Arabidopsis thaliana: one gene and its partners. The protein of the gene in region 1 interacts with the protein of each later gene in a pairwise test. Each region holds a gene or a part of one and is shown in the gene's direction. Other genes may lie near its edges.

What was found. Proteins that work in one complex are often made in the same cells at the same time.
Region 2: the proteins of AT4G26580 (region 1) and AT2G22425 interact in a protein complementation assay, tested with the Arabidopsis thaliana proteins (one large-scale study listed by BioGRID).
Region 3: the proteins of AT4G26580 (region 1) and AT2G41705 interact in a protein complementation assay, tested with the Arabidopsis thaliana proteins (one large-scale study listed by BioGRID).

What each region holds. Positions count from the first base shown.
Region 1 is NC_003075.7:13,410,902-13,415,028, reverse strand, and holds AT4G26580 (RING/U-box superfamily protein), read left to right. Parts: upstream 1-1,585; 5' UTR 1,586-1,973; intron 1,974-1,999; exon of another isoform or gene 2,000-2,107; 5' UTR 2,108-2,139; coding exon 2,140-2,642; intron 2,643-2,729; coding exon 2,730-3,087; intron 3,088-3,177; coding exon 3,178-3,324; 3' UTR 3,325-3,582; downstream 3,583-4,127. Other genes in the region: OPT5 (oligopeptide transporter 5), read left to right, coding at 1-895.
Region 2 is NC_003071.7:9,512,638-9,516,176, forward strand, and holds AT2G22425 (Microsomal signal peptidase 12 kDa subunit (SPC12)), read left to right. Parts: upstream 1-2,057; 5' UTR 2,058-2,351; intron 2,352-2,435; 5' UTR 2,436-2,441; coding exon 2,442-2,720; 3' UTR 2,721-3,037; downstream 3,038-3,539. Other genes in the region: AT2G22420 (Peroxidase superfamily protein), read left to right, coding at 704-907, 991-1,182, 1,254-1,847. UniProt on the Arabidopsis thaliana protein: Component of the signal peptidase complex (SPC) which catalyzes the cleavage of N-terminal signal sequences from nascent proteins as they are translocated into the lumen of the endoplasmic reticulum. Dispensable for SPC enzymatic activity.
Region 3 is NC_003071.7:17,395,294-17,400,583, forward strand, and holds AT2G41705 (camphor resistance CrcB family protein), read left to right. Parts: upstream 1-1,976; 5' UTR 1,977-2,217; exon of another isoform or gene 2,218-2,746; 5' UTR 2,747-2,789; coding exon 2,790-3,167; intron 3,168-3,262; coding exon 3,263-3,346; intron 3,347-3,441; coding exon 3,442-3,540; intron 3,541-3,622; coding exon 3,623-3,815; intron 3,816-3,902; coding exon 3,903-4,315; intron 4,316-4,398; coding exon 4,399-4,617; 3' UTR 4,618-4,788; downstream 4,789-5,290. Other genes in the region: ABCA1 (ATP-binding cassette A1), read right to left, coding at 38-120, 219-387, 491-570, 731-817; AT2G41710 (Integrase-type DNA-binding superfamily protein), read right to left, coding at 4,967-5,290.

The sequences.
Region 1 (4,127 bases):
TCAGCTCCCATGGTGGGGACTTTTACTCGCTTGTGCCATCGCCTTTACCTTCACTTTGCCTATTGGAGTTATCCTAGCGACCACAAACCAGCGAATGGGTCTTAATGTTATATCGGAACTGATCATCGGGTTCTTGTATCCGGGAAAGCCACTTGCCAATGTGGCTTTTAAGACTTATGGTTCTGTGAGTATAGCTCAAGCCTTGTACTTTGTCGGAGACTTCAAACTTGGCCACTACATGAAGATTCCTCCGAGATCTATGTTCATCGTTCAACTCGTTGCGACTATTGTTGCTTCAACTGTCTCCTTCGGGACCACATGGTGGTTGCTTTCTTCAGTCGAGAACATCTGTAACACAGATATGCTCCCAAAGAGTAGTCCGTGGACTTGCCCTGGGGATGTAGTGTTCTACAACGCGTCGATCATTTGGGGAATCATCGGTCCTGGAAGGATGTTCACAAGTAAAGGTATATACCCCGGGATGAACTGGTTCTTCCTCATTGGCTTCCTTGCTCCTGTCCCGGTCTGGTTCTTTGCAAGGAAATTCCCGGAGAAGAAGTGGATACATCAGATTCATATTCCCTTGATCTTCTCAGGGGCTAATGTGATGCCAATGGCCAAGGCTGTGCATTACTGGTCGTGGTTCGCTGTTGGGATCGTGTTCAACTACTATATCTTCAGGAGGTACAAGGGATGGTGGGCAAGGCATAACTACATCCTCTCTGCAGCTCTTGATGCAGGCACTGCGGTTATGGGAGTGTTGATCTACTTTGCGTTACAGAACAATAACATAAGCTTACCAGATTGGTGGGGGAATGAGAACACAGACCATTGCCCTTTGGCAAATTGCCCAACAGAGAAAGGGATCGTCGCTAAGGGCTGCCCGGTGTTCTAAAACCTTGTTGCAGTTTAACATTATCTCTGTAGTTTCTCATACCTGCAGGTGAGGGACAGTTACTGCAAAGTCGTTTGGTGGCCATAATAATAATAATGCGTAAAGACTTTGTGAGAGTTTAAGTGATAAAGTAAAAAATGGTTTGCAAATTAAGAACACCCAAAGATGATAGCTCTAACACAAATTTCAATCAAAGAGAGTATAATTTCAGGACAAAGCAAAACAAGGCTAAAAGTTTCCATCTTTTTCTAATTGAATAACACTAAGATCTGTGAACAACTTCCGTTCCTGTCAATTTCAAGCAATCAAGAACCAAATTTGTCACCTTCTATTGAACTCAGGAAAACTCCTAAATTGTGCAATTTAACGTACATGTCAAACGTAATCAGATCCTAAGATTCATAGTTAGGTTTTTCAAACCTTCGAAGTCATCATGAGAGAGATCTCCAGAGGAGGCAGGAGATGGAGGACAAGCTTGATGTACTCATTATGGGAGAGCTCAAACTTGAGCTAGTAGAGCTACGCCATTATTTCCCAAGCTCACCTTTGTTTGACTCGATCACAAAACTCAGTGAGTCAGACTCAGTTCAACGACCCTCTAATTTGGATACCCGTTTACGCGGCCCAACCCGGCCCAATACTGGATTTTGAATTTTTTTATGTTTAATGATTTTCTTATAAATATTTGGCTTTGCGTAGAGGGAGAGAGGGAGAGAGGGAGGAGAGATGGCGTTGTCTAACCAAAAAAAAAACGAGAATAGATAAAGCAGCAGCGGTTGCTGTCGGAGTTTTGCTTCGAAGACAAAAAACTAAGGTTGTTAGGTTTTATAGGCCAACGGTTTATGTTCTCCTACTTCTCTGCTTCTTCTGCATTCTTCAATCCTAAGCAAAAATCCATTTGTGGACGTCACTATCAAACGGCCAACTTCACCTTCTCTGACAATATCACTACACCTTCCTTTCTTCTTCATCTCTTCTATCTTCACTATTTTTTTACCAAAATCTTCTCCATCTGCTGGGTTCACACCAAAACCTACACTTTTTGGTATGTTGCTCTGTTTCGCAGAGTGAAGATAAGGTATTTGATGAAAATGCCTCACTGATATATCCATCCATGTCTTTTTTTTTACATGTACTTTAATTGCATATTTTAAAGACTTTTCATGGCTTTTTAGCTCAAGCTTTACTCTGTTTCTCTTTGCTCTTGTTCAGGAGATCAAATCAAAGACCTCTCTGTTTCCGATATGAGTACCCGTTATTCCTCTCAGTTGCAATCATCAGCCATTAACTCCATCACTGTCTCCTCATCTTCTTCCTTCGCTTCCACGCAACTGGATGATAACACTCACACGGCTCCGGAGAGCTCTCCATCTTCTTCCTTCTTCATGAGACTTGCCATGAGGGTATCTAGAGCAAGGTGGTTCATTTTCTTGAGAAGAGTCTTTCATTACCAGAACGCCTCAAGATCCGATCTTGGCACCAATCCTTTCAATTCTATCGCTTGGATGGTATCAGAGCTCATCGCTTTACTTTTACAGATCACTGTGATAACATCCACACTAGCTTTGTCCAAAAACGAGAGGCCTGTTTGGCCGATGAGGTTATGGATCACTGGCTACAACGTTGGATGTCTGCTCAATCTTATGTTACTATACGGTCGGTATCGTCAGCAAGATACTAGCCATGAAAATGCATTTAGCTTCGGCGATATTGAGCAGCAACAAAGAAGCAGGGAAGAGACCACCAGGTTACTAACAAAAATCTAGTTTTTTCAAGTTTGATCATAAAATGCAAAGATTTCTAGGAAAATGACTTATTTTTGTGTGTGTTTTAGGTGCTCGCATTTGATGAACAAATGCCGGACATCGCTGGAGCTATTCTTTGCGATATGGTTTGTGATAGGTAATGTATGGGTTTTTGATTCTCGGTTTGGTTCTTTCCACTATGCTCCAATCCTTCATGTCCTCTGCATCTCCCTACTCGCTTGGAACGCTCTCTGTTACTCCTTCCCATTTCTTCTCTTCCTCCTGCTCTGTTGTGTTGTACCTCTCGTTAGTAGCTTCCTCGGCTACAACATGAACGTTGGATCTTCGGAAAAAGGAGCTTCAGATGACCAGATCTCCAGTCTCCCAAGTTGGAAATACAAACTCATTGATGAAACTTCTGATTCTTCTCAAGCAAACAATGATCCGGTAAGCACTAATTTGAATTCTGAAATAGGTCAAATAGTCAGAAATCAATCTTGATATCAAAACTGAAACCCACCGGTTTCATTATTGCAGGAATGTTGTATATGTTTGGCAAAGTACAAAGAGAAAGAAGAAGTGAGAAAGCTTCCATGTTCGCATAGGTTTCACCTCAAATGCGTAGATCAATGGCTTCGTATCATCTCGTGTTGTCCTCTTTGCAAACAAGATCTCCCTAACTGAAAAATCAAAACAATACATGAGTCACAAGATTGAATCTCTGACCAAGTACCATATATGTGTTTTTTTTTTTTTCTGTTGCCGCCTAAACACGTTTACTTGTGTGAATGTCGTTATCATTCCTTTTTTTTTCTTGTGTACAAAGTAGCTCACCAGTAACTGTAATTTTACCTAAAAAAAAAGTTAAAAAACATGATCAATCTGTTGTTTTACCAGTAGAGTTTGTCCCTCTCTTACCATTAATCAAAGTTTTAATTGTTGGTTAATGTAACTAAGCTTATACTGGTTTTTGCTATAATATTTTTTCCAAAGACAATTTAAACCGAATTCAAACCCAGAGACCAAATCAGACCAAAGCAACAGTCAGAATCCGAATAACATGACACGCCGTCGTATAGGAACGATTATTGAAACGATGGTGTTTAAGACAGCGCATAAATGGACACATGCTCCACTAGACGACGACGTGTGAAAGTGAATGTAACAAGGAGTTTTATTACAACTGTATCAACATCGAGTAAAAATAAACAAAATTATTTATTTTTTAAATTTAAAAAGTATAAAAACGCCAACAAACAAAAATAATTTGGTCTTTTTCTTAGCATATTTAAAATTTTGCAATATATTCATTCTGCTTATAGAAAATCGTGTCGACCTTTTTTCTCTCACTTACCCAATAAGAGCTTTTTTCGCGTTTTCCACCGCAACCACCGTCACCTTCAACCGCCGGAGCCGCCGCAAGGAAGGCTCATCATCCGCCGTGGCGTAAGGCTTTTTCTTCTTCTCTTTCTCCCTTTTCTACGATT
Region 2 (3,539 bases), on another chromosome or scaffold:
ATTTTTCATAAGATGTTTCTTATTAATGTATTTTTAGGATTTTCACACATCTTAAAAAACATATTAAAAGTTGATTAGAAATATATTATTCTTCTTGAAGTTTACACATCAATAATAACTAGTAATAAATATTGCATAGAAATTTTAAAAATGACTATCTTTTCGAATCAAAAAAATTTCCTACAAAATACAATAATAAACAAAGAGAGTAGTACTGTTCATCTAAATACTGTATAATGGATGTTTTACCAATTTTAACAATTACGTACAAAAGTTTCACACCTTTATAAAAAAAATTTGATCAATTATCCTTTTATCTTCTTTATTTTTGCCAGCTAATATACACTGCAATAATCCAAACTTAACAAACATTTAACATTACTTCAGATTCATCATTCAATAATTTCACAAACCCATAATTTTACCAAATTACTACACTAATCCCCCATTGGCACCAATTCTATAATTAGAAAATTTATTTCTTTATTTATTTATTTATTTATTTCTATTTATTAAAGAAATAAATTATAGAAATTGGAATGCCCACCACCACCAGAGACCACACTTGCACAAATTCCATCTATAAACACAAAAGCCTTTAGTATCATTCTCGAAAACCACCAAAAACCTCTTTATAACCCAACAAACAAAGTCTCTACTTCTTCTTCAATCACTGAAACACAACACCAAAAAAGAAAAAAGTATGTCTCTTCTTCCCCATCTCATCCTCTACCTAACACTTTTGACGGTGGTTGTTACTGGAGAAACTCTCCGACCAAGATTCTACAGCGAGACATGCCCTGAAGCTGAATCCATAGTAAGAAGAGAAATGAAGAAAGCAATGATCAAAGAAGCAAGAAGCGTCGCTTCCGTCATGCGTTTCCAATTTCACGACTGTTTCGTCAATGTAAACACTATAAATCTTTCTCTCTGTTCTTGATCTTTACTCTGTTTTCCTCTCTGAATTTTTCTTTGAATCATCAAATTCAGGGATGTGACGCATCTCTGTTGCTTGACGACACACCAAACATGCTTGGTGAAAAACTATCACTTTCCAACATCGATTCACTAAGATCTTTCGAAGTCGTTGACGACATTAAAGAAGCTCTAGAGAAAGCTTGTCCAGCTACTGTTTCTTGTGCCGATATCGTTATCATGGCCGCTCGTGACGCCGTTGCTCTTGTAAGTCAAAATTCAATTTCCCCGGTTTAGTGAAATCTCGGTTTTGTAATTTTGGTCTTTGAAAAAACCAGACAGGAGGACCAGATTGGGAAGTGAAGCTAGGGAGGAAAGACAGTTTAACAGCGAGTCAGCAAGATTCCGACGATATAATGCCAAGTCCAAGAGCCAACGCAACTTTCTTGATTGATCTCTTCGAAAGATTCAATCTTTCTGTAAAAGACATGGTTGCTTTATCAGGGTCACACTCAATAGGTCAAGGTCGGTGTTTTTCAATCATGTTCAGACTTTATAACCAATCCGGTTCTGGTAAACCGGATCCAGCTCTTGAACCGAGTTACCGTAAGAAGCTTGATAAGCTTTGTCCTTTGGGTGGAGATGAGAATGTGACTGGAGATCTAGATGCAACACCTCAGGTTTTTGATAATCAGTATTTCAAAGACTTGGTTTCAGGGAGAGGGTTTCTTAACTCTGATCAGACTTTGTACACGAATCTAGTGACGAGAGAGTATGTGAAGATGTTTAGTGAGGATCAAGATGAGTTCTTTAGGGCTTTTGCAGAAGGCATGGTGAAGTTGGGTGATTTGCAATCTGGGAGACCTGGTGAGATTAGGTTTAATTGTAGAGTTGTTAATAGAAGGCCTATTGATGTATTGCTTGTATCTTGAATTATCATTAGTAAAGAGAAGAAATCTTAATTATGACTTCTAAATTGATGCAAATCTTTTTAGCTACATGCCATGGATCTTGGTTCTCCAAAACTTTGATTTTGGTTTATGAATACTGGTCACTGCTAAAGCTACAATCTGGTCACACCAGTCTATAAAATAGTAAACATTATCTAATCACTGAAGTTGTTGTCCCAATAAACAAATTATGGACTGGACAAGTAGCAACATTCTAATTCTGAGGTACACACAAAGAAACTTAAATGTAAATATTCCTTGTTTCAAGGTTTCAGAATTTGCACATATACAAAATCTCGAAATAATTAAGGCACATTAAAAACCGCCGGTTCACCCGGTTATAGAGTAATCTGACCGTCCACTTTATCCGGTTTACTTTTAAACCGATTTTGTGGTCTTAGCTCATAAATGTCAAGAGTCCTTTCTTTTCTTCCCCATTGTTGAAAATCAGGTTTACAGATTCAGTGAGAGATCAGATCGCTAAAGGTTTGTGCAATTAGGGTTCTCAGATTCTCTCTTTTGTTTAACTTTGGATTCAAATCGCTAATGGTTTTTGATTTCGTTGTGTAGAAGAAAATGGATTGGCAAGGACAGAAACTGGTGGAGCAGCTGATGCAGATCTTACTGGTGATCTCCGGCGTTGTAGCGGTGGTTGTTGGCTACACAACGGAATCGTTCAGGACGATGATGCTGATCTATGCCGGTGGTGTTGTTCTCACGACTTTGGTTACTGTACCTAATTGGCCTTTCTACAATCTTCATCCTCTCAAATGGTTAGATCCGAGCGAAGCCGAGAAGCATCCCAAACCAGAAGTTGTCAGTGTTGCTTCGAAGAAGAAATTCTCTAAGAAATAGGTCTGATTCTGAATCTCTCTCTCTCTCTCTCTCTCTCTCTCTCTCAGAATTGTTTGTATGAGATATTTGTGGATCGGAATCTTAATTATGAATTGAATATTCTGGGTTGATTCTTATAATTATCTGTTTTTGCCAAAGGAATTTGCTTTTGAATCAATGGCTATGGCTGTAATCTGGCAATTTCACTGAATTGTGTAGATTATCTATCATCAGAGAGTTTTAGATGAAAAAGTCTTATGAATCACAAAAGTCTCAGTTTTTATGAAAATGGTACATAAATATCACACCATCCATTTACACTCTGTGTTAAGCTTGTGTGCAAAAACCAATGCTAGTCTTTGATGCTTTGCTCCTTCTTATTTTCTTGAGTCGAAGTAGAAATAGTTTGTGTGATTCCAAACTGTTCCGCTAGTCGCTGGTCAGAGGATTTGCACGGGTTCATATTCCGGGAGATTCGAGTCATCTGGCGAACGCGAACGCTTAAAGGTAGGTCATAGGCTTATGAAACGAAATGACAGTTGAATCAGCGAACGCGTACAGGTTTGGAATCAGAATTTGAGAGAACCAACATTTGGCAGGATGCTTGTAAATGAGCTGTGGAGAAAAAGGAGTGGTTTAGTTAGGTCAGCATTAGGAAGAAGCAGAGGATATGAAAAGTATACCTTCACCAGAAGGATGAAGCAAATTCACAAACAAAGAGAGAGCTCTCCGGAAGTAGCAATAGCCAAAATCTACATGGTATCGCAAAAAAAATACATCATGTGGATAAACAATAGAGGAAAATTCAGTGATTGTAAGAAACTAGTCAACTCTAGAGAC
Region 3 (5,290 bases), on another chromosome or scaffold:
TGCCTTCTTATTAGCTGGAAAAAAGAACAAAACATACCTCACTTCGCTACAGACACCATAATGCGCAGATGTTATATAAGTTTCCAGCTCTATGTCATCTTTAAAAATTTTAGTAACTAGCTGCAAACAGAAGACACAGGGTCGATTAAACGTGTGACATATGAAGAGTAACTATCGATCTAGAATGCAGCATAAGATGAAGACGTGATGATGATTACCCGCAGTTCCGGAAACTTAAGAGACAAAATGTCGATCATGTTATTAGTTTCATCAGTGTCAGGTGCAAAAGCTAAAAAATCCCCCTCAGCAAGCAAAAGCTTCAAAACTTCTGGAAAACTAGGAGAGTTGCCTTTGCCCACTTCGACGACTGTATCTTTGTCTATGTTCCTTTCATGATCAACAGAACAAAATGCAGAAAACGAAATCAAAATCCAATTTTAGTACGAGAGAGAGAGAGGCTAGTGACGAGTGTAAAAAACTGATATCTTACGAGTGAGCCGGGTGAATTGTGGTGTCAACCCGTGTCCTGACGGCTATCAACAGCAACATTACAATAGTCGGAAGCAAAATCTGCCAATGAATAAGAGAAAGAAGCAAAATTTGATCAACAATTCGAAATTTTAAAAACAAAAATTGCATTCAGCATCAAGGAGAAGAAGACCCATTAAGACGAGCAGTGAATAAGCATGAAAACGACATAGTTTTGAGGAGCAAAGAAAAAGAGAGAAACCTCAGCTGAAGTAACGAAGGGATGACGAGTTTTGAGGAGCCAATTCTTGCGGAGCATGGCCTTGAATTGCCTCTTCGATGAACCCATTTTTCCTTGGAACCCAGAAAGAACCCTAGACGATAGATTCTAGTCTTGGCTTCAATAAGAAATCATACTTTTATGGTTCTTCTTTGGGAAAAGGCAAAGCAAAGTAGCAAACTAAGAAAGCAGAGAGAGGTGGCGAAGACTTGGGCTCACCTCACTGACATTTGTGCTTCCTTTTTTTTTTTTTTTTTTTTCCTGCCAATTTATTTGATTCATTAATCAATTTGATTATACAATCAAACAAAAGAATTTTGCAACTAGCTGCGGATAACACAAGTGGTCGACAAAAATAGAAGAATTCCGAAACTGTTTCATTTATTTACGGGACCTTTCTTCTTCTATCAAAAAACCCAAAAAATAAGGAGAAGATTAGATTAGTTGTCGTGATATTAAGAAGGTAATCTTATATTAAACCAAAAAAAAAGAAGAAGATAATCTTATAATTAATATATATAAGTACTTAAGTACAGTTGCTGATGTTGACCCAAATATAAATCTTTGCGTCAATGCCAAGTAGGGGTGGCTCTCTCACGGGCTCCACATTAAAAGCCTAGTGTAGTGTACGTGGAACATCCTGATTCGTTTTAGAGTTGCGTTACGCCAATTATATTACGACGAAAACGACGACGTTCCTAAGTTTGACGGCAAAGTATACGAATGTTTTTATTATTTTTCCGAAGGTTGCCAATAAAAGCCGCCATTAGAATTATTCCTTTCATTGCCACTCCCCAACTTGATTCTTATTTTTATTTTTATCAGTTGTGACACAACTTTAAAGAAATCCACCTTCATATTCAATCCTCAAAAATGCTGTTTTTTTTTAACACAGAAAAAAAACAATTTTTAGTAAAATTATATCAAATGTAGAATCAAAATGACACTATTTTCTTCAACTAAAAACAATGAAACTTTTTTTTTAATACCATTAACTTTTAATAATTTATCTGGATTTTTTCAAAATATATGATCAAATTTCAAGTAACATCTAAATATATGTTAAAGATGATTTTGTTTGGGCTGTCGTTTCCAAGGATATTTTTGTTATCCGCCAGAGACAAAAAAAATCTGTTATGAGAAGCGGGGCTACTGGGCCAGCTCTTTGTGGCCCATAATTTAGAAATATTTTAAAACTTATGTATTGTTTTTGTTTTTTTTAGGGTGCGATTTTCCCGACTAAACCAACTCTACTTGTCTGTACATGTGTGTTCGACTAAACAAAGTTACAATCGTCTTCTGCTTTGTTGTTCGTCCATCTTCTACAATCGAACCTACTTCCCTTAACATCCAATAAACCAGAGAATAAATTGATGGTTTTCGATTGTCTCCTGTTAGCTCGATTTCTCCGCCGGCGACTTTTGGGATCAAATTTGATTCTTCACGATTAAGATTGAATTCGCCATTAGGTAAAGCTGCTGAATTTTAAATGTCTAGCTCAAAATCCAAACCCAAAACAGGTCCCAATCTAAGAAAAGTATTCATTCGTCTTTGCCACCTGTACAACTTTTTAAGATTTTCGTTTTTTTCTCTATTGGTGAACAAGTGATTATTTTAGTCTACCTTTTTTTCGATTTCCACTAACTAAAACGCAAGTAAATTTTTATCTTTTGTTTTAAGGGATAGTGGAGGACAAAATCTTGAAAACTGTTTTTGGATCCCTTCACCAGGTCATTCTTATTCTGCTTCTGTAGAAAGTAATAAACTAAAGTCATAATCTATCATGAATATGTGAACTTTTTTGAATTTGTTGTCTTAGTATCAAAAAGCTATGGTTTTGAAGATTACAGCTAAACTTTTCAAACAGTGTCTTTAATAAGCATTAGGAATTTCTCGAATGTTTACTTGCCACATTGTTCGATTATCTCTTGTCTCTTTTTGCACATTCCTTCATGTCTTCTTTCTTGTGTGTGTGGCTGTGGCTTAAAATATGTGCAGGTGGAGCATCATTTAAGAATCTTATGCTTTGGCTACAACGCCTATGGATACGGGTCAAAGCAGCATAGAACCTTATCAAGCCAAGTCTTTTAGTCGGGAGAGCAGTGTAGCCTCTTCTTTAAGCTTATCACGTAGTTTGCCTCACCTAATTGACAATGACGTCGATAGTGAGAGTGTCTCAGAGGCAGGGGATATTGGGGACCGCTCACTTCGGAGAAGGCATAGTGCTGGTAGAAGCAGCCGTTTGTCTGCTGATGATTTTATAGAACAAGGGACTCATGATACTTCTCGTCAAGAACAAGATATATTACATGACCTTCGAGCTTTCAACACTGCTTCCGTAAATAAAACTTTGCCTGAGGACATAACAGCATCTCCTTTACCGACCAAGTCACTCTTGTCACCTGAAATAAACAACTCCGTAGAGACTACCTCTAACTTTGCATAGTCACATCATTGTTAGTATTGGTTTCTTTGTCCAATGTTTTGATCTATTGTAGCTCGTGGGTTGCACAGGGAAAGGAGGAAGAGCGAGTGTTACCAAAGTCCTTGGAGTACATATCATGCCTAATTCATTTGGCTGTTTTTGGGATTTTTGGGGTAAAATGCTTATTTTCCATTTTCTGTCTGTCTCTCTGTTGTGCTTTGTTTTTGTTTAAATCATTATAATCAACTCGTTGACTCCAAATATACAGGCCATTACGAGATATTTGCTGCAAAAATTGTTTGGGCCAACTGGTGCTCGAGTAACAAGTGATGGGAGCATCTTGTACCTTGATCTTCCCTCCAACATGGTGAAAGTCGCAATGCACTCATCTCAAACTTAATTACAAACCTATCTTTCTTAATAAAAATTCTCCAAATGCTTCCTTATAGGTAGGATCATTCTTGATGGGTTGGTTTGGCGTTGTATTCAAAGCAGATATAGCAAGAGTTTCTGAATTTGTGGCGATAGGATTATCGACTGGTTATTTGGGGAGTCTGACAACATTCAGCGGTTGGAACCAGAAAATGCTGGATCTTAGTGCTGATGGTCAATGGGTGTATGCTGTGCTTGGCTTTTTATTAGGTAAAAACAAAAAATTCCCTTCTCAATCTCCAATCACCTACTAAATTGGATGAAACATACTTGCTTACAGCATAAACGACTTTACAGGATTGTTTCTCACGTCATACTCCATAATTCTGGGAGTGGAAACGGCCAAAGGGTTTAAATGGCTTCTTCATAGAAGAGCTTCTTCTGAGGATAAATTCCATTGTCTTAAGGTTAACACCTTCCAGAGCCATATTGTGTCTCTGACCCTGATGCTTCTGTTGCTTGTGGCTTTACTCACTGCCAGTTCCATACTGCTTGTGAAAGAGTTTGACAAAGGAACAAGCGAGGCTCAGCTATGGTTTGGTTGCTTAGTTGCAGCCCCTGGTGTCTGGCTCAGATGGTTCTTAGCCCGACTCAATGGACGTGGGCTGGGAAAGGATAGTCAAAATTTGAGATGGGTCCCATTTGGCACCCTCATTGCAAATGTAGTTGCAGCTTGCGTTATGGCAGCATTGGCTACCTTGAAGAAATCGGTATAAACTTCCTCACCTCCTCTCTCTACCAAACAGATCAAATCACAAAAGATAACATTCATTGTATATATTTTGGGAAACAGGTGAACACGAGAACATGTAACACGGTTGCTTCGAGCATACAGTTTGGTCTGTTGGGATGTCTGAGCACAGTTTCGACCTTCATGGCTGAGTTCAATGCGATGAGAGAAAGTGATTACCCATGGAGAGCCTATGCGTATGCATCTTTTACCATTGTGGTTTCTTTTGCGATTGGAACTATTATATACTCAGTCCCTGTCTGGGTAATAGGATTCAGTTAGTTGTATCAAAGCTAGATAAGTCTTGTGCAGATGATGTGATAATACATAGTCGTAACATTTGGTAGAGATGAATAATTAGATCGGTCACAATCAAATTATATTATACCTTGTGCAGAAATATTAAGAGCAAACTTCTATACTATAATGATAACTTTTTTCTGTTTTACACAAAATATCATGATTCTATATTCCACACTGGAAAAAAAAAAACACAACCACTAACAAAACCTGTACATTCCTGCTTCAGACCATTGTCACACTTTTCCCAACTTTTTCTCCATAAAAGAGACAAAGAGATGTCAAGTCGACGAATTCATCTCAAAAAAGGAGAATCTGACATACATAAAGTCTAAAGGGAACGGCTCATTTCTCTTGTGGGAGGTAGCTGTACGTGGAACAGCTGGTCTCTGTCTTTGTCACCTGCAGAAGAAAGAGAGCCAAAGAAAATGACATAAGGAAGATGTGTTGTAGTAACCTCTGAAGTCTCTGGTTCTATAGATATATGACTACGAACCTCTGAAGTAAGAGAGGATCCTGAAGGAAGAAATGGTGTCCAGAGAATAGGGTCTGCAAGAGGATCCAATGTATTGTAGTTGGTGAGCAATGGAGCCGTTAAGAGAGAGGTAAGTGGGTACATGCTTTTCTGAAGAGACAAAGCAGCAGCACCGCCTAA